Drosophila melanogaster: one gene and its partners. The protein of the gene in region 1 interacts with the protein of each later gene in a pairwise test. Each region holds a gene or a part of one and is shown in the gene's direction. Other genes may lie near its edges. The genes, in order: ab, BtbVII and drongo.

Evidence for each region.
Region 2: the proteins of ab (region 1) and BtbVII interact in a two-hybrid assay, tested with the Drosophila melanogaster proteins (one large-scale study listed by BioGRID).
Region 3: the proteins of ab (region 1) and drongo interact in a two-hybrid assay, tested with the Drosophila melanogaster proteins (one large-scale study listed by BioGRID).

Annotation. Positions count from the first base shown.
Region 1 is NT_033779.5:11,208,407-11,214,433, forward strand, and holds the start of ab (abrupt), read left to right. Parts: upstream 1-2,271; 5' UTR 2,272-2,341; exon of another isoform or gene 2,342-2,367; intron 2,368-3,361; 5' UTR 3,362-3,557; intron 3,558-6,027. UniProt on the Drosophila melanogaster protein: Expression is vital for development; may be involved in transcriptional regulation. In embryos, muscle specific expression is required for segmental nerve b (SNb) motoneuron target recognition within ventral longitudinal muscles.
Region 2 is NT_037436.4:3,146,533-3,152,581, forward strand, and holds the start of BtbVII (BTB-protein-VII), read left to right. Parts: upstream 1-2,113; 5' UTR 2,114-2,155; intron 2,156-2,167; exon of another isoform or gene 2,168-2,205; intron 2,206-2,369; exon of another isoform or gene 2,370-2,389; intron 2,390-2,600; exon of another isoform or gene 2,601-2,628; intron 2,629-3,095; 5' UTR 3,096-3,450; coding exon 3,451-3,621; intron 3,622-3,682; coding exon 3,683-4,310; coding exon of another isoform or gene 4,311-4,325; intron 4,326-4,395; coding exon 4,396-4,640; coding exon of another isoform or gene 4,641-4,652; intron 4,653-4,731; coding exon 4,732-4,840; intron 4,841-5,922; coding exon of another isoform or gene 5,923-6,049. Other genes in the region: Usp5 (ubiquitin specific protease 5), read right to left, coding at 1-938, 1,000-1,513.
Region 3 is NT_033779.5:846,649-852,666, reverse strand, and holds the start of drongo (drongo), read left to right. Parts: upstream 1-1,595; 5' UTR 1,596-2,598; coding exon 2,599-2,768; intron 2,769-6,018. Other genes in the region: CG4291 (uncharacterized protein), read left to right, coding at 38-39, 96-168, 225-949, 1,008-1,224.

The DNA of each region.
Region 1 (6,027 bases):
TTGTTCGACCATTGAAATGCGTACGAGATTATTTAGACAGATCGTGGCATTAAAATATATGTACATGCTTATATTTATATATATACATATATGAGCACAGACATATATTAAGCGCATACATCCGAATATTTTAATTAGAGTATAGATAAAAAATAACAACAACAAAGGAAAAAGAGACGAGCAGAGAAGAAGTGAACGAGCGGGGGGCTGTCAGGGGCGGAGGCAGCAACAAATATTAACAATAATTATACCCAAAATATAAAGACGCGGCGACACCTATTCCATATAAATTTTAGGTTTCCACAATTTTTTCACTCACTCTCGATAAAAATAACATTCCACACGTACACACACAACTAGATGGGATGCGGTGGGGCGGTGAAGAAACAGATTTGGGAAGTGAATTTTGGACAGTACCTACACACCACCACCACCCATTCTTGCCCCTGGAAGAGTGGAGGGGGGGGGGGGTGCTTGTGGGTAAAAATAAATACAAATGTCGCCGGCATCAATAAGATATAAATTAAAAGCGTACTACAATCCCAATGTTAATTAGAGAAGCACGAGAAGCGAAGAGAATGCAGCGGAGGTGGGGCCAAACATAAAACTAAGGTGGAGCGAAGTGAAGCGAAGAATGAGAAATTCAGCCCCGCTACACTGAGATAAAGTAGTGGAAATCTTTTAATTATGAAATACATTTTGATATCCTAAAAGGCAAGAATTGTTAGCTATATATAACAATTAACAAGATATATTATGAGTAGTTAACACAGAATTGCAGAAGAATTCTTAAACATTGAAAAATTTTCTAGATTCTTTCTTATAGTGCAAGATTATATACCCATTGAGTTTGGGTATGGAACTTTCCTCCGCCCAACCAATTTCATACCTCGCTCCAATGGAAGCGCTTGACGTGCTGTCGTGTATCTATTAGATACATTAGCTGCCGCATGCCACCAACTTGCGCTCCCTTTTTGGGAAGCTGTAGCTGCATCTACAGATCGTTGCATCCGAAACTCTGTGCATTTGTGGATCGTTGGGATGTTTGGTGGTGCGGCGACAATTTCGGTGTTCTGCCATTTGGAGTGTTTTTACACGTAAATTTATTTTGTTTTTGTCGACTTTAATAAAGTTGCATCTGCCGAGGGGTGGCACCTCATAGCTTTAGCGTCTGCCGAAGTGGGAGACAAACTTTATTTATTCCAGCCTCAGGCAGCTTAATGACTTCCTGCAGGGGCGGCTACTGCGAGAAATCGGAGGAGGGCAAGATTAAGGTGCGGTTCCAGTTCTCCACGGAACTGTCTTCCTTTTTTTGAATTATTATTCTACCATAAAGCTCCGCATATCTAAGGAAAGTATGGTTAGGGAAAATACATCATATTAAGTATATTCATGTATCTTTAGCCTTATTGTTAAATTACACTATTATTGGACAAATATCTGTGTACATTCATTCGTTTAGACATCCGTTTAGAAAATTTAGTAATTTGCACATTTGAACGTTTTTCCTTAGCTGCGTCATTTTAATTACAATTTCAAATAAGGTCAAATGATTTATTGAAATCCGTCTCACAACTACAGTGCATTCCAATGACTAAAGTTATGCTTGTGTCTTAGTTTGTTTTCTTATTTGGTCCACATTTTTGTAAGTAAAGTTAAAGTAAATTAAAGTATATTTTAATTCAAAAATTAGGGTTAGTTCATTTTTATATTTATTTTTGTACTTAAACTTACATTTTACATTTCCTTTTCAGACTGAGAAATAACTTAATTCGATGAAATGCTACTTTATTTATGGAAACTATAATTTATCAGAGAGCGCACATTTTATCGCACTTAACACCCAATGAATCAAAAACTCGGGCTGCTCTCTTCTACCGAAAACTTTTGGCCAAGAAAGCGCTGGCAATTCTGCAATTCAATTGGTCGGCCGTCCGTCTTTCTTTCTTCTCGGGCTCTCTGCAGTCTTCACCTTGCCACTTTGCCCGGTTGGAAAAGTAAACACAATCTGATTGTATGGCTTAGATAATAGCCCCCTTGTGCGCCAGTGTGTGTGTGTGTGTGTGTGTCTGTGAGTGTGTTGGCCAGTTGGAGGAGGATGGGGCTAAAAAAAAACGAGTGAGAAACCACCGACGCGCTGCATGCAACATGTTCGCCGTCGAACGTCAAACGACGAGCATCGAACGTCGAACTTCGAACATCGAACGTGGAGCCGACGAAGAGTGCGTCGGATTTTACTTACCGCTTACGAAAACAGGAATTCTTATTACGCGCAGTACAATTTCAGAAATCAGACGGGCAGCAAGTGTCGTGGTTCAAGTGCGGCTAATTTGGCTTATATGTGATTTTCAGTGTTTTGATGGCTTAGTAAACTATCAGAAACACAGAGACAACTGAATTTGAACTTCTCAACTAAATAAATACAAACCATAACATAACTAAAGAAAACAAAGAACTGTAATATAAAATAAAAATAAATTAAAAACGAAAAACTATTAAAATGCATATAAACCCGAATTGGAACGAATAAACTTGGTGCTGTTAACTGTTTTCGAAATAAATCCAAGAAACTTCCGTTCCTAGTGCGAAACTATAAACAACAAGAACTGCAGCGGCGACGCGTCGGCAAATTGGCATAAATAAATAAAATCAGCGACGTTTTTTTCTGCTGCCGCTGTTCTTTTTTTACAACCCGATTTTTATGAATGAATGCAGCTAACAGGCAGAAAAAAAACCGCAACAAAAGAGCGAGATAGCGCGAGTCGCGTGCACAGGAGCGAAATCGTTGAAGAAAACGGGGGAAGTGGGGGCGGTTGTAAAAAAGCGGACAGGTTGTACCGTTCGATTGCCGCCCACCGCCCGTTTGTCGCCCACTTTTTGTTGTTATTATTTTTCGGTTTGCTTTTCCGCTTTTCCTCCTAGGCGACACACGCTCATGCTTGTCACTTTGTTGCTTTTGCTTTTCGCCTGTCAGCGGCTGTCACAAATCCGCAAACAAACACACAAACACTCACACACACACACACACGCAGCAATTGTTGTCGTTGCAAAATTAATAACGGAAGTTGTGCATTTTATTAATAAAAACGAAATTCACACAGAACCAGATTCACAATCGCAATCAGAATCAGAGAAAATAAAACCAGAACACGAAACTCGCTGCGAAAAAGAGCGCACGAAACAAAAAACAAAAACAACAAAAATCGCAAGTGCAGCGCGACGGCTTCTTCGTCTTCTTCTTATTCTTGTGGCGTTTTTCTTCTACTTCGTTTCGTTTGTTTTCCGCTTCTCGGAAAACCCAGGAAAATGCTCTCTGATTTGCCAGCGATTCTCATTCATTTTGTTCTTATTGTGATTGCAGTTGTGCAGTGTTGAAAAATCAAACTAAATTCAAAATCGGCTTTAAAGAAAACAAATTCATAAAGGGAAATACCCAAAGAAAATAACCCTCAGTGTTTCAAAAGTGTTCAAATTTTACAATTGTGGCATCACAACAACAAATTCAGCAATCATCGTGAATTTTCAAAAAGAAGATTAAGAAATCAACAGTGCAAACGGTAAGTTTTAAAACTGATTCTTGGAAATGTATGTACGAATCTGCTTGGATGGCAACTTTTTAACAGGGAATTTGATCGTTGAAGTCTTTGGGGTTAGTTCCAATGTTTGTTTTCTGACAGTATATGAATTTTAAGTTATTGATTTACTTAAATTTAATGTAACTAATATTCTGGAAACGAAACCAAACGAGAATCAAATCGTTTAAGCTGTTTAACTAGATCACATTAAAATCGTAGTAAAATAGAACTTTCTCGCTTCCCTAGACTTTTATAACTTTATATGTCATGATTTTGTTTTACATAAATTGAATTAGGTTAACAAATGTTTTATGACCGCGATCTTTGTTTGCGATCTCTCTCAGTGATCGTAAACCGAAGTTAATGGCTTACAAAATCGGGCTCACAAAAGGCGTCAGCATTTGGAATTGTCTTTAAACTAGTTGGCCAAAATGTGTGAATCTAAGAAAATTATGTATTTTTTGGTGTTACACGCTTTCTTGATTGGTCTGCTGCTCTTGAAGACAGACCCGAATAGTTGGTGTCCTCTTGCGATTTGATAAATGAATCTTGCAACTTAGGGAAAACGTTTTCGGGGGAATTTTCGTGTGCAGTAATTGCCAACTTTTTTGGAGGCAGTAGTGCTGTGGCACCCATAGGTAGGTAGTGTTGTGTGTTATGGCCAATAATGGTAATAGCAGCTAATGAACCTGACTCTCGACTGAATTTTTGGATTTAGTCTCGGAGTCGGGGGTCTGCGATACCCAACACCAAACACCATCGCGTAAGTGTAGATTCCTCGCCTGGGCGAGTGTTGTTTTTATTTTTCACCGGCCCGTTGAAAACAAACACAAATACGTAGATGTGGAAACCCGGGGATGCTGGGAAACAAAAGGGTCAAGGGGGCGAACAATTAACGCGTCGCTGTAATTACAGCAAATGGTTAAAAAAAAGGGGTTTGGGAACAACTAACCAGAAAAAAGACACAAAGAGAGGGAAAAATAGAAAATATTAATAATCAATAGCCCGCTAAAAGGCATCGATGGAGTCGGTCGAGTTGGTCGCGATGGTTGAGGCAATTTTATCGGTCATTGAACGGCCAAAAGAAGCCAATACCAGAAAGAGATTTTTTTACAAGCCGAAAACGCAAATCGTCGGACTTGGAAATTATGCCAAAAACTTCGACTTTAGACGCGGCAAGAAGCGATCGGTTTTTGGTTAATTACCCGGCCAAATCTCCGTTAACCTCCGGCGAAGAAACTTCGATGGCCTTTTCTGGGGGGCTGAGCAGTTAATTACATAAAAACAAGTGATTTGCGTGTGCGCTGCTGCTTTTGCTGCTGCCCACCGGCATCGATTCTCCAGCTCCGTTTCTTAGATTTTTTTTGTGTTGGGTAATTTTCAACTCGCCAACTTTCGGCCCGGCTAATTAGCGGAGAAAATCTGCGGCACAGGCCGAAAACCCATTTTTAGGTTGAACACTTGCGAGTGTTTGGTAAATGTCCAAGAACAGGTGACCTTTGACTTTAGTTTGAGGGCCTAAAGCATGATTAGGTAAGCAGGAATCAATTTAGAATTCAAAAAAGTCATTACATATTCAAATACTCGCATAAAGAACCTCCTATTAGTTGCTTACAAATTTTTCTTATTCCATAATTACTATTTTAAAACTTAACGCATAGCTTAACAAATTTGCTCACAGAGTTTGAGAGCTTATTTCATTACTTCAGTTCTGTAATTATATTCTGTGCAATAACCTTTTGCTCTTAGCTTAGATTGTATGAAAAAGTGCAGAATATAAGTACATTTTGGCCGTCATCTTCTCTCTAAAATTCTGCTTTATTTCATTATGTCTCAAATCATTCTTCAGCCTCGGTTCTCACTTTTTTCCTGCCCAGTTTTCGAATGACCTTTGGTTGGCGCCGTCTTCTCCGCATCCTTTTGCCCCACACTCCATATAATTTATCATAAAAAATAAAAGTTTTTTGGCTTTTTACGAACCTTTTCATGGGGTTTCTGCCCCCCTGCGGTCAGATGAAAAAAAAGTGGAAGGAAGCTGGACAATCGGCGCCGTGACTGCGTTCTAGATAAATAAGCATTCTTAATTATCCCTTTGCCTCCTTCTCTGGGGTGGCAAAAATGTTATAAACAATGGAAACCGCGCACTTAATGCGTTTTCTGTTTTCCAGAAGAAGGAAAAAAAAAACGAACGCGGCTGCGGCAAGTATTTTTCTTCATATTATTCATTATTTTGTGGCCAAAAAAGAAAATGTTTTTATTGCCTGCGAAAAAGGGTATAAAATGCTCAGTCGCCATTAGCCAAGGACCCGCAACCAAAACGACAACAATTCCAATCAAATGTAAAGGAGCAGGGCATAAAAAAAGGAGATTTCCAAGTGGCCCAAATGCCGAGATACTCAATGATGGGTGGAGATTTGGGTGTGAGAGGTCCAAAAAGAAATGCCGTCGGTAG
Region 2 (6,049 bases), on another chromosome or scaffold:
TTCCTCGCGGGTATTGTACTTCACCTTGTGGCTGGCCAGACACTCAACGCGATCCTCCAGCAGGAACTTTAGAGCATCTGCGGGATTTGTTTGGTTCCGCGAATTCCTGTCCAGCAGGGTGAGCAAATGCAGATAGAAATCGTTGGCATCTTGCTGCTGTTTGGTGCTGAAATCTGGGTGATTCTTGCCCACAATGTTCTTAAACATGGCCGGCGATATTCCGGTGCTGTGATCGGTGTCCAAAGTGTTCTCGGCAATACTGCTGTACTTTCCCGACTGCAGACCAGTTCCCAGCTTGGCCATTTGAATATTGAAGTCGTTGGCCGGGTCGCTGGGAAACTCTTTGAAATAGCGTTCCGCTCCAGTGCCCACGAACCGCTGCTGGAAGTCTGGGATGACGAAGAGCACTTGCATCACGCTGTTTATGTAGCAGGAGTTGCCCAGATTGCGCATGCCAGTGTATCCAGGACCAGCAACAGGCTGCAGCTCACTTTCGCTCTCCGTAAGCGCCGTCCACTCGCCGATGCGCTGGTTAATGTCCAACTCTAGCTCCACCATCGACTTCTCGCTCTTCTTCATCGCCGCCATGTTGATGCCAAAGTGGGAGAGATGGCGCTCTAAGTGTGGATCGAGTACCATTTCATCCTCCGGGTAGGAGAACACATCCGACTTGCCATCAGCGGTGATGGTGCCCAGTTTCACCGCCAGCGGGAAACCCGTTACTCTGTAGTGCTCCACGGCGTGATCGTTGCCGCCACTGCCGTCAAAGAACTTGCGTCCGCACATGATCGAACCATCGGTCAGATTAAGCCAGAGGTTGTTGGTCAAGTCGCACTTCTCGCACTGCCAGCCGGATGGGGGAATCCTCTTGCCATTATCCAGCTGCTGCAGGTTATCTGCGTACTTCGACGCCTGACGCACTTCACCATCCCAGGTGCCTGAAAAATTATTGATTTTAGGCTACCTTCGTCAGCATGGGATAACAATCCTGCAACTCACCCATCAGCGTGGCCTTCTCCAACTTGGCAATTGCCGAGTCGGCGGCCAGGATCGCTTCCACCGACTGGGTGACACGCATGGGCAGCTCTGGATCCGGATAGGGCAGCTTCTTATCCAGGTGCGGAGCCACCACGATGCTGTACGTGTCCTTGATCTCGTACTTCTTGGCCATGTCCGACTCGTTGTAGCCGCCCTCGACGCCAATGGCCAGGCGGGTGATCTTCCGTTCCGGTCCTGCCTCCGACTCCGCGCATTCGGCCTCCATGTCGGCGCCCTCCTTGATCGTCTTCACCCGCTGGATGTGGAGGAAGACCCGGTTGCCGGTCTTGTCGGCATACTCCCGCACATACGCCTCGCCGAAGCCCAAAAAGCTGTGCAGGCACACGTACAAACCGGTGGGCGTCTCGGGATTGTCATAGGAGTAGACGCACTCGTCCTTGTAGATGGGAGGACTGCCCGCCCCGGATGCGCATGGCACGTTCACCTTGGATAAATGCTTGCGTAGTTCCTCCATAACGGTATCTGGAATCCTGTAGGCAGCTCTTTTCTCATAAACTTTACGGACCGAATGTAAAATAGTATAGTTGATTTTTTTTGCAGCTGCTGCTTAGAGATGAACATGGGAAAATGCATCGATACCGGCGAGCATGGATATGCGAATATCGATGGGTTGAAATGGTGTTTTACTGGTTGAAATCAGCTTTTAACAATTCTTACCCTTATTTTTGTACCTTATAACGGCTTTTGAGTGATATTTACGTATTTGGCCGCCCAATAAGCACAATTAGTTTAATTTGACTGCTGCAGGCTATCGTTGTTTATTCAATACTGTCATCTCTAGCCAAAGCCAACAACAAATTCGCGAGTCACCAAGGGAACCGAACTGGTTCCGTTAAGTACGAACAATGCGGGGAAAGTGTGGCAACGCCGATTGTGATTCATCAGATGTATAACCGAAGTCAACATTTTAAAACAACAATTCAAATGTTAACCATTTAAATACAATAAACAAATTATTTTAAAATTTGGGACAATCTTTAACAATTGGGATACTAGTTTTGATCTAGGACTGGTCACACTATTAAGCGACCTGTCAACTCGTTGTATACAAAGTTGCCATATAGTCACAAAAATCTTTCGCATAAAGAAGTAAAACGTAAGAATTTTCATATGCGTTTTTCGCCAGGAAATCCGCATTAAAATAATGTAAAAAGTGGTAAAAAAGTTGGCGCAAAGAGTGAGCCAGTCAAAGGCATTGAAATTCAGCTCGCTCTAACAGTTTTCGGCGTTGTTTTGCCCCTCGCATAAATTTGTTGCGCGCCATTTTGTTTTTGGAAAGCAAAAGAAAAAGAAGAAATACAACAGCAAAAACCTACCACAAAAAGTCAAAGTTTGTAAAAGCGATAAAAAGCAAGAGGAAAAGGAATTCTGTGGGGGGAAAAGCGAGTGAATAACATGTGGCGGCTTGGCTAGTTCGAGCATCATCTTTGTGCCTCTAAAAGACATACGAAAATAACGCGCGACATGCACATAAATAAATACGACTGAAACACTGAAAACTGAAAATATCGATACGATGAATAAACGAAGAAGCAGCGATTAGTACGTCGTCGGCGGTCGTCTGTGTGGGTGAGAGAGTGAGGAAGACGGGAATGGGGAAGGCGATTAAGTGCGAAAGAGATGGAGGAGCGCGGGGCGCGTATATAATTACGTCATAAGAATTAAAGAAAATTCAAGGTCTACAGCACTGCGGCTATACAAAAAGCTATACGATTTCGTTACGTTCTCGGTTTTATCAAAAATAAAACTTTGGCCAGTGAGCAGCAACAACAACAAGTATGGCTGTTGTGTTCCAGTGTGTGTGTGTGTTGTGTTTCATTTTCGCGACTGTATAATTACATACACACGCAGTCCCGCCGATGTTGTTGTTTCTGTTTGATTTTTTATTGTAAGCGAGAAGAGCGCGCAGCTGTGAAAAGCAGATGAGAGAGAGAGAGGAAGAAAGCGAGAGAGTGGAATTTGTTGTTGAGCAATTTGTGTAACCATCGATAATGTTTGATTTATTTAAACCCCATTTTTATTACCCCTTTTTGCAGTGACTCGCGATGCGTGCGGCATAGAAGTCGTCGCCCCCCAAAAAACCGTGATCCCGACCCCCCACACGCACACACACATGTACAGACTGCGATTGTTCATAAATTTAAATTGATTAAAAGTCGGAGCGAAAAAGTAAAGCGAACAAAACACCGGAAAGCAAGGAAAATTAATAAAAATCAATAGAGGCGAGCGGGAGGCGATAAAAAGTGTTATCAGTGCGAATTAATTGGCTACGAAGAAGGAAAGAAGCAGGAGGCGGAGGAGCGGGAGCAGGAGGAGGAGGTTGCTCCGGAGATTGAGGTTTAGGGAGCTCCAAATCCGCATCCCGGACGCGGATCCGGACCCCTCGACATCATGTCCGTGCAGCAGTTCTGCCTGCGGTGGAACAACCACCAGCCGAACTTCATCTCCGTGTGCTCCTCGCTGCTGCACAATGGCACCCTGGTGGACGTCACCCTGGCAGCCGAGGGTCGCCAACTACAGGCCCACAAAATAGTGCTATCCGCCTGCAGCTCGTACTTTCAGGTAAGTTGGAGATCGCCGCAGCGTATATCCCTTACGAATTACACTCAAATGTGTTCGACAGGCTTTGTTCACCACAAATCCGTGCCAACATCCCATTGTCATCCTGAAGGACGTGCAGTACGATGACCTAAAGACCATGGTGGACTTTATGTACTACGGCGAGGTAAATGTGTCGCAGGAGCAGCTGCCGCACATCCTCAAGACCGCCGAGATGCTCAAGATCAAAGGCCTAGCGGAGATGCCAACGGATCCGGCCAATCTTACCAAGTCGGATAGCAAGTCCTCCACCGACGGCACCGAGATGGTGGGCGGTGCGGGAGTGGGCACTGGAGCGGGCAACTCGGCTGGCAGCCTGGGAGCCGGCAGTGGAAGCAGCGTCGGCGACTCCCTGTGGAGCAGCAGCGAGGCCCAACAGTTCCAGCAGCAGCAGCAACAGCAGGCCCAGCAACAGGCACAGCAGCAGCACCATCACCACCAGCAGCAGCAGCAGTTGCAGCAGCAACAACAACAGGCGCAGCAGCAGCAACAACAGCAGCAGCACCATCACCACCACCATCAGCAGCAGCAGAGCGGACAGGCGCAGGCGGCGCAGACGCATCACCACCAGATGCGACGTACGCCGTCGCCTTTGAGCGCTGGAACCTCGCCGGCCACCAGGCGCAAGCGCTTGCGCAAATCCTCGAATAACGGTGAGTTGGAGTTGGGTAAAGCATCGTCGTGATAGATCCAAAATTGTAAGGTCTCAAAAAATAACCGGTTTTCGTAATAACGCAGGTTCTGGCGATCGCAACAACGCGGAGGAGCAGCACAACAGCTCACTGGACGCGGGCAGTGGTGCCGGCAACGCCGGTCTCAGTCTCGCCCAGATGAACCAGATGACATTTGGTGCGGGCGGCGGCTTGGCCGGCCACTCACTGCACGCGGCTAAGCTGCTCAAGGAGTCGGCCAGCGCTGAGCTAGAGCAGCAGCCGCAGGACTCGGATCTTGACGATGGACACGGACACTTACACATGCAAATTGTAATGAAATTGGTCACGTTAACCTTGTACCCTCGTCCGCATGAGCAAAGTCACTAATTGTTTTCTTTTTCTTCTCGGTGCCCACGTGCAGAAGCCCGAAGTCGACATTGGCGGCGTGAACCAAACGATGCCCTTGGACATCTCCGGCGGTACCACACCATCCGAGCACGATGCGCCGAACTCCCAGTCCTCGCACTCGGGTAAGTCGCAATTGGAAATCAAAAGCCAGCACACTGTTCCATCAAAGCTCATTGTTCATCGGGTAGGGATCTCATTCGCCAGGTTGGATTCTTTTTTTTTATCGTTTCTTAGTTTTGTTTGCCTTGATTACTTTAAAAAACACAAATCACGGACAACTTAACTGCAATTCGTAGTCAAAAGAAAGCTGACACACTATAGACTAAGCAGGAGTCAAGAGGGAAAACGTGTATAGATCAGAAATGACTTGACTTTTTTGAAACGAGCATGACTGAAAGAACATAGCTTTACAATGTTGGTATCATTTGCGAACTGACTAGGGGTTCACTGAACTGATAAGCACTGTCACCTATGTTCTCTTAAGCAAATCAATGTGAAATCTGAACCACTGTGTACTCTCGATTCATCGAAATAATGCCCACAATCATACTTCATCTGCATATCTCACACACGAACGGTGCCATTTCGAAACAATTTCAGTACACAGCGCTTGGAGAAATGAATGCTAAAGCTAAATATGAGATCTAGTATACCGATTATTCATTACTGATTTACCGACTAAGTGCAACGAAATAATTGTGAAATGCCGAAATTTTCTATGTTTAACTATTATTGTGTATTGTATTCCAAAAAACCGAATCCTGCCTGAACTTGGGAATGGGAGAGAGCTAGCACAAAGTCCAAAACAAAAACTAAAACTTCCAAAAACTAAATCTATGATTTGTTTTTCAATTGTTCATTCTCGATTTGCGTTTACTTGCGTTTTTTTGATTTTTGTTTTGTGGGAATTTCCAAAACAGCGGTTTCCGATGATAATGATTTAGCCTTAGCAATCTTTCCTCTACTACTTACCTCTATTGTACCTATCTAAGAACTGCCTCAGAACCTATAAACTGTCTCAGTACCAACACAACTGAACTAAGATCAAACCTGACCTGACCAGACTCAAACAGACCCAATCCCGATCCATTAGAGCTAGGAGAGAGCGATCTCAACTTCAATTTCGATCGAAATGCCCCAGTAACCAGTACCAGTAACAGAACCAATCTTTCATTCGCTGTCTCTCTCTCTCTCCCCTTCCCAGGTCTGCAATGGACAGTTGTTGATTCCAACTATCCGCGCTTCTCCCTGCCCGCCTGCCAGTCCAACTTGTTGGGCAACGGCGGAGGCAGCGGTGGTGGTGCCGGTAGCCAGAGCAGTGGTGCGAATAG
Region 3 (6,018 bases), about 10 Mb from region 1:
TTACTTGTATTCGAAACAATTAAGCTGAGAAATCATCATGTAAGTCTGCGTTATTATCCTCCGGCTTTGCCATAGCTAACTCTCGATTCCAACAGGACGGAGTACTGGAAATCAAACGAGCGCAAGTTCTGCGACTTCTGCAAATGCTGGCTGAGCGACAACAAGGCGGTGAGTCCATAGAATAAACTCGCTTTTCGGCACTCTAATGACCCCTAATCCCGCAGAGCGTCGCCTTCCACGAGAGTGGCAAGCGGCACAAGATGAATGTGGCCAAGCGGATCACGGACATCAGTCGCAACAGCGAGAAATCGGAGCGGGAGCGCCAGAAAATGGACGCGGAGATCCGCAAGATGGAGGAGGCGGCCATGAAGTCGTACGCACAGGATGTCCATTCGCGCGGTGACATGACCGCCAGGTCCATTAACACGGTAATGAGGGCCACCGCCACTGCTGCCGCCTCAGGCGGAGCTCACTCCTTCGCCGGAAGATCACGCCAAGTGGACCCCATGCGCCTGGAAGGATTGTCCGACGAAGAAGAAGACCAGAGGCGGGTGGCTCCCGGCAAGGTAACAAGCGACGCAGCCGTGCCCGAGGCATCCCTCTGGGTGGAGGGCAAGTCGGACGAGGGACACACCTACTATTGGAACGTGAAGACCAATGAATCCGTGTGGAAGCCGCCGAAAGAGGGCTATCTGTCCTACGAGGAGTACGAGCGCATCAACCAGCTGGCCATCGACCAGCAGCAGATCTCCCAGGCCGAGGAATCGCTGAAATTCCGCGCCAATGTCGACGAGGAAGTGGCGAGGGTGAACCGAGAGAAGATGAAAGCCTTCCGCAGGACGGACAATCCCAAGGAAAAGAAGCAGAAGGAGGAGAGGCGTCAGACATTCAAAACGGAGGAAGAGGCGGCCACCAAAGAGATTGGACAGTGGCAAACTGTGGAAGTGAAGTAGGGCCTTCCTACTAGGTTCAAATGCATTTACTGATAAATTTATGGATTTTTGTAGAGCACCTGAGCAGCCCATCGACTGGCAGCTACCCAAAACGGATTACTACAGTGCTGCGCCCGTGGTTTCCGCCTCGAGTGAACCAGAACCTCCAGTCAAGAAGTTCAAGGAAAAGACGATTGGCGGTCTGGATGAGGAGATAGCCGCCACTGCGCCCGCCACGTTCAAGCGGAAATTCATCAGGAAGGGAAACAGCCGCCAGCGCGCCGAGGATTAAGAAGTACTCCATGTGCTTATGTGCATATTTCACCTACTAGTTAGGTTTAGGCATAGGAAATGTTTAGGTTTTTAAGTGTTTGCTTATACCAATTAAAAAGTGAGATGCGTTTAACTAATATTAGATTAAACATAGCTATTGTAGAATTATTATTATCTTTAGTCGACTTGCATTCAATAAATATTTCCCAACATTTTAAATAGTAATATGTTTTTTAAAAAGTTTTAAATTTCGATAACAGTTATCGAATTAGGTTCAATCGGTGTGTGTCTGTGCTTTAGTTGCGGCATATTTAGGTCTTAGAGCTCCGTCCAATTTTAGTGCATTTCCAGCGGCAACACGAGGTATGTTTCTCCCGTCCGCCAACGGTCACTCTGCTGCTGTTGTTGTAGGCGAGCGGTCGGAATTTGCGTCGGAATTGTGTTGAGTCGAGTCGCGCTATTTTGTTTCGAGTGCGCTGTGCTGTTTGGTTTCGTTCCGTTTCGTTTCGCTGTTCGTTTTCCACTCGTCTTCGAATCCGCACTGCAAACAAACAAGGAGAAGGGGAAGCAGCAAAAGTGGCGAGTGCATTCGCAGCGTCGAAATTTCAATTGAAATCTGAAATCTGTGTGGCAATTGCAGCGGCACTCGGTGTAAATAGATTGAATTGAAGCGAAATTCTGCGAGTCGAAGAAGTGAAAAGTAAACAATAACACGGGCAATCGGAAAAGTGGTTTTCGATAAATCGCACCGCACACACACACCTGTCAGTGTGAGTGTCAAAGTGAGTGTGTGAGTGTGCGTCGAAGGAGAGGAAAGGTCAAGCCAAAAATTGCGTAAAGAAAAGGAAAGGAAAGCTTAGAAGAGGGGAAGGGGAATTACGTCAGTTTCGCATTCCCGATAAAAATTTTTGATTCCCTAAACGATCCTGATAGCCAGCCATTACGATAGGCAAAAAACGATAACAGCGGAAATTTACGTCAATTTGGAGCAGAAAGTAAACGATACCAATTCCCGAAAGAATTCAAAAAATCAGGCAAGATTCAGTTCGTGTACGCTTACAACAGCTCCGCGCCCCACGCCGCCTCCTCCTACCGCACCGCCGTCGCCCCCTTTGCGCCCTACGCGGCCGAGCGGTCCACCCACCACCACCCACTCCCGCCCCCCGAGGAGCGGCTGCCCTCGGACACCGAGCAGCTAGCTGGATCCGACGAGGATCGGGCTCAGAGCCACGAAGCGGAAGCGGAGGAATCCGAGGAGGAGCGCGCAGGTAGCGGACCCTCCGTCAGGCCGCTCATCGCAGCAGCAGGAGCAACAACAACGACAACGTCGACGTCAGTAGTACCGGAAGCGGTACAAAGGGCGGCGGCCAAGGGAGCGACAGAGACGGCGACAATGGCGGTGGTGCGCAAGAAACAGGACGACAAGTACCTGCTCGCCCTGCGGGAACTAGTGGCCAGCGGGACGGGGAGCAATCGGCAGTGCTTCGACTGCGGCCAAAAAGGACCAACCTACGTGAACATGACCATCGGATCCTTTGTCTGCACCCGCTGCTCCGGAGTCCTGTAAGTATTTGCCTTCTTGTTGTTGTTTTCTAGTCTGGGATAATGTAGGGTAGATCCAGGAATTAGGCATAAGTCGCCTGCTAGGTGACCTTTGTTATGAGAATGTAACTGTAACTTGGCTATTCATATTTTAGTTATTTCTTTGGTTGTCTCTTTGAGTTTACCAGGTATTCAAGATACCTCTGGAAAATATTTCAAACAATTTCCGATGCACAGATTGATCTAGCTTGAGATTTGTAGAATAAGGATGGTGGGTTATGAACTGACAAATCTCTTAAAATCTTCCACAAGAAGAATCCAGATATACGACATTTATGGTTATGGCTTTCTTGAATGGCTTTTGGTTGAATTCACACATGTTTTTTATCAAAAAGCTGGCTACCTATATACATATTCTGATAACTGCCAAATGGGCTACCCCCACTGCGTTTAGGAGTCATATAAAATATTGCCTTGAGTGTTTCCAAAAATAGAAATGCAAATTGAGAGCTATCAACGTCGATCCGTGGACCTTTCTTGGTCTCCCGTGTTATCTTGACTTGAACCCAGCCAATTTGAACTCGCCTGACGTCCATTTGGGATCTGTGCCCGAGTGGAGTGACCGATAATTTGCGATCGATCGATGCAATGTCCGATCCCGCCCCCCATTATTATTTCGTATTGTGTGTGAAAGCGAAAGCAATTCCCCAACAATTTCGAACAATTTCGCACAATTTGGCTTCCTTTCCTTTTTGAATGCAAATGCAAATCGAAGACAAAACTTTCAATTGCGCGACATCGCGGCGAACGAAATTGTTTTGTCTTCGCCGGCGTCGCTTTCTATTCGTGTTTTTCCGTGGGGAGACGTTTTCGAGAGCCGCCCACCTGGCGGTTGAGTTGTGGGTGTCCTTGGCGCCCCTCAGTTTATTTTTTATTTTTGCCCCTCTAAGTAATTTGGCAAATTGGCTTTGATTTGTGAGCACTATGGCCAAATTGGGGTCATATATGTATTACCACTCCGCCGACACTGCATTTCATTTGATTTACGCATTTCCGGATCAAGCACATTACATGATTGCTCTTAAACTTCCGCTTGGCCCAGGTCCAGAAGCCCAGTCTCCCACGATTCGTGTGCCCCAGATTGTGGCCTCTCAATTGGACAGCATGCGGGTTTCTCCGCTGAGTTATCTCTATCATCGGAACCAGGTTGAAAAGTAGCCAACTGCAATGCGTTCGCCCTGCTGCACTCTGCAGTCCCCAACTCTTGTTTCGATGACTCATTGCCCATTCCTCAGTCTTCGGTGTGCGGTGCTCAATCCTCAATCCTTAGTCCTCAAACCTTGTTGCCAACTGCCAAGGGAAACAAATGTTGGCATGTAAATGAAAAGCCACATAAATGCCGGGGACACCAAGCGATTGCACTGCGAGAAAGGGTTAATGGTTAATTGTAACAAACAATTGGTCCTGTTAGTCGGATACTTCTGCGGTTTTTCAGTTACTAGTCTAACGACGTGCCACGTTTCTGCCGGTGTAGCCAAAAAGGGGTGTGGAAAGGTACTGCAGCAAATGGGGGACTCGGCCGAGGAAGGGGGCGTGGCAGGGGCGACAGCAGGCGACAACGAACTTCCTGGCTGAAAATGAGACTGGAACGTCGACTGCGACAAGGGAGCGAGTGCAGGGAATACCAAATGAAACCAACTCCTCCGACTCACGAAGAAATGGCTGTGCATGTTCGGCCCGCCTTTGGATATTGGAATCCGCTGCAGACCGGCCGGTCACTTGGAGCGCTTAATGGAGGAAGCGGTTCAGGAATGAGAATGGAACTGGCAATGGTAGTGGGTTTCAGAATGGGAATGTCCGCGGTGGCGCGGGGAGGAAAACCCGTCCGACGGCTTTTGCCAGCCACACTCGGTTGTATTTTTGGGCCGAAGTTGCTGCTGCTGTTGCGCCTCCAATTGCAGACAAATTGTTGCACCTCAATCAAGCAGCAGTCGCCGCCATCTGCTGCCACACCGCATTTCGGTTGCTTTGTTTTTTTTTTGTTTTTGTTTTATTTTACTCTTTGGCTTTTGCAGGGTTCAAAGCTTGTGCTGGCTCATAAAAGTCAAGAAACTTGTTGATTAGATAAGGCGAAAGCAAACGGCCATTGGGAGCAGAGCTGAGCAGAGCAGAGCGGAGCAGCAATGGTGAGCCACTTTCTCAGGCTTCGTCATCATTCCCACCGCACACAACACACTAACTACACACAGCAATGGTCATTTGAATACGAAGTTGCCGGCTTAATAGTGCATTATTCAATTATTAAATAACTTGGGGATGTGAATCAGTGCGAGTTCAGGCGAAAAATGGAAATACCCATTGCTAGATGTGAAAATGTTTAGCTATACATTGGAGGTGCTTATATTTCTGCTTTAAATTTCAGATAGATTTACTTCTTCTAGTAAGCATCTTTCATAATGCTTACTTTATTTAATACAATTTTACCATCAAATGCCGTAATTTGTTTTCCTTGTGTCAACTGTGATTTTTTCTAAACTGATTACATATACAAGTGTTTTTATACGCTTAATCTTTCAAAACAAGTTTATTATGTGCGATTTCCTGGACTTCGTTTTGGAGTGTTTGAGTCATTTTTATTATGTTTTTAAACTTTTATTTAAAATATTTTATCAATCTTCCCGGCTGAGCTATTTCTGTGGTCACGATTGTATGTTTGCAGTCATTCGTTGGTTGTTTGTGCGATTCTATCTGTCTGGGAGTCGATGACTGTAGTCATGCTATAGCACACATAAAATACATATATATGGCATATATGGCATATTAGTTGATATATAATATGAAATTATTAGATAAACTGATCTGATGCTTCTAAAAGTACCAAACTTCCTATCTCTGATATCAATTTGTTACCAAACCAAGAGGGGGTATCAAAAACCTTTCATATTTGAATTTTCAAAACCATTAAGTCGTATTGTAGGTACATTTGTACATACGGGCAAGTGAACTGTGGAGCAGACCCCACCCGCTTTCCGAATCCCCGATTCCCCATGCCCATCGCGTTGGCATTGCAGTTGCAGTCGAACTGGGCCAACTGCCTTCGAGTGGAGCCCACAAAAGCTCGGAGCACGTCTTTCGCTCTCTCGTTTTTTTTATTTCTTATTTGGCCCGTTCTGCGGCTCGTATGTTAATTTCCGATTATGAAACAGCATAAACATGTCTGCATTTGACAGCCCCGAAAAGAGGACCATGGGGGGCGGGGTTGGGGGAAGGG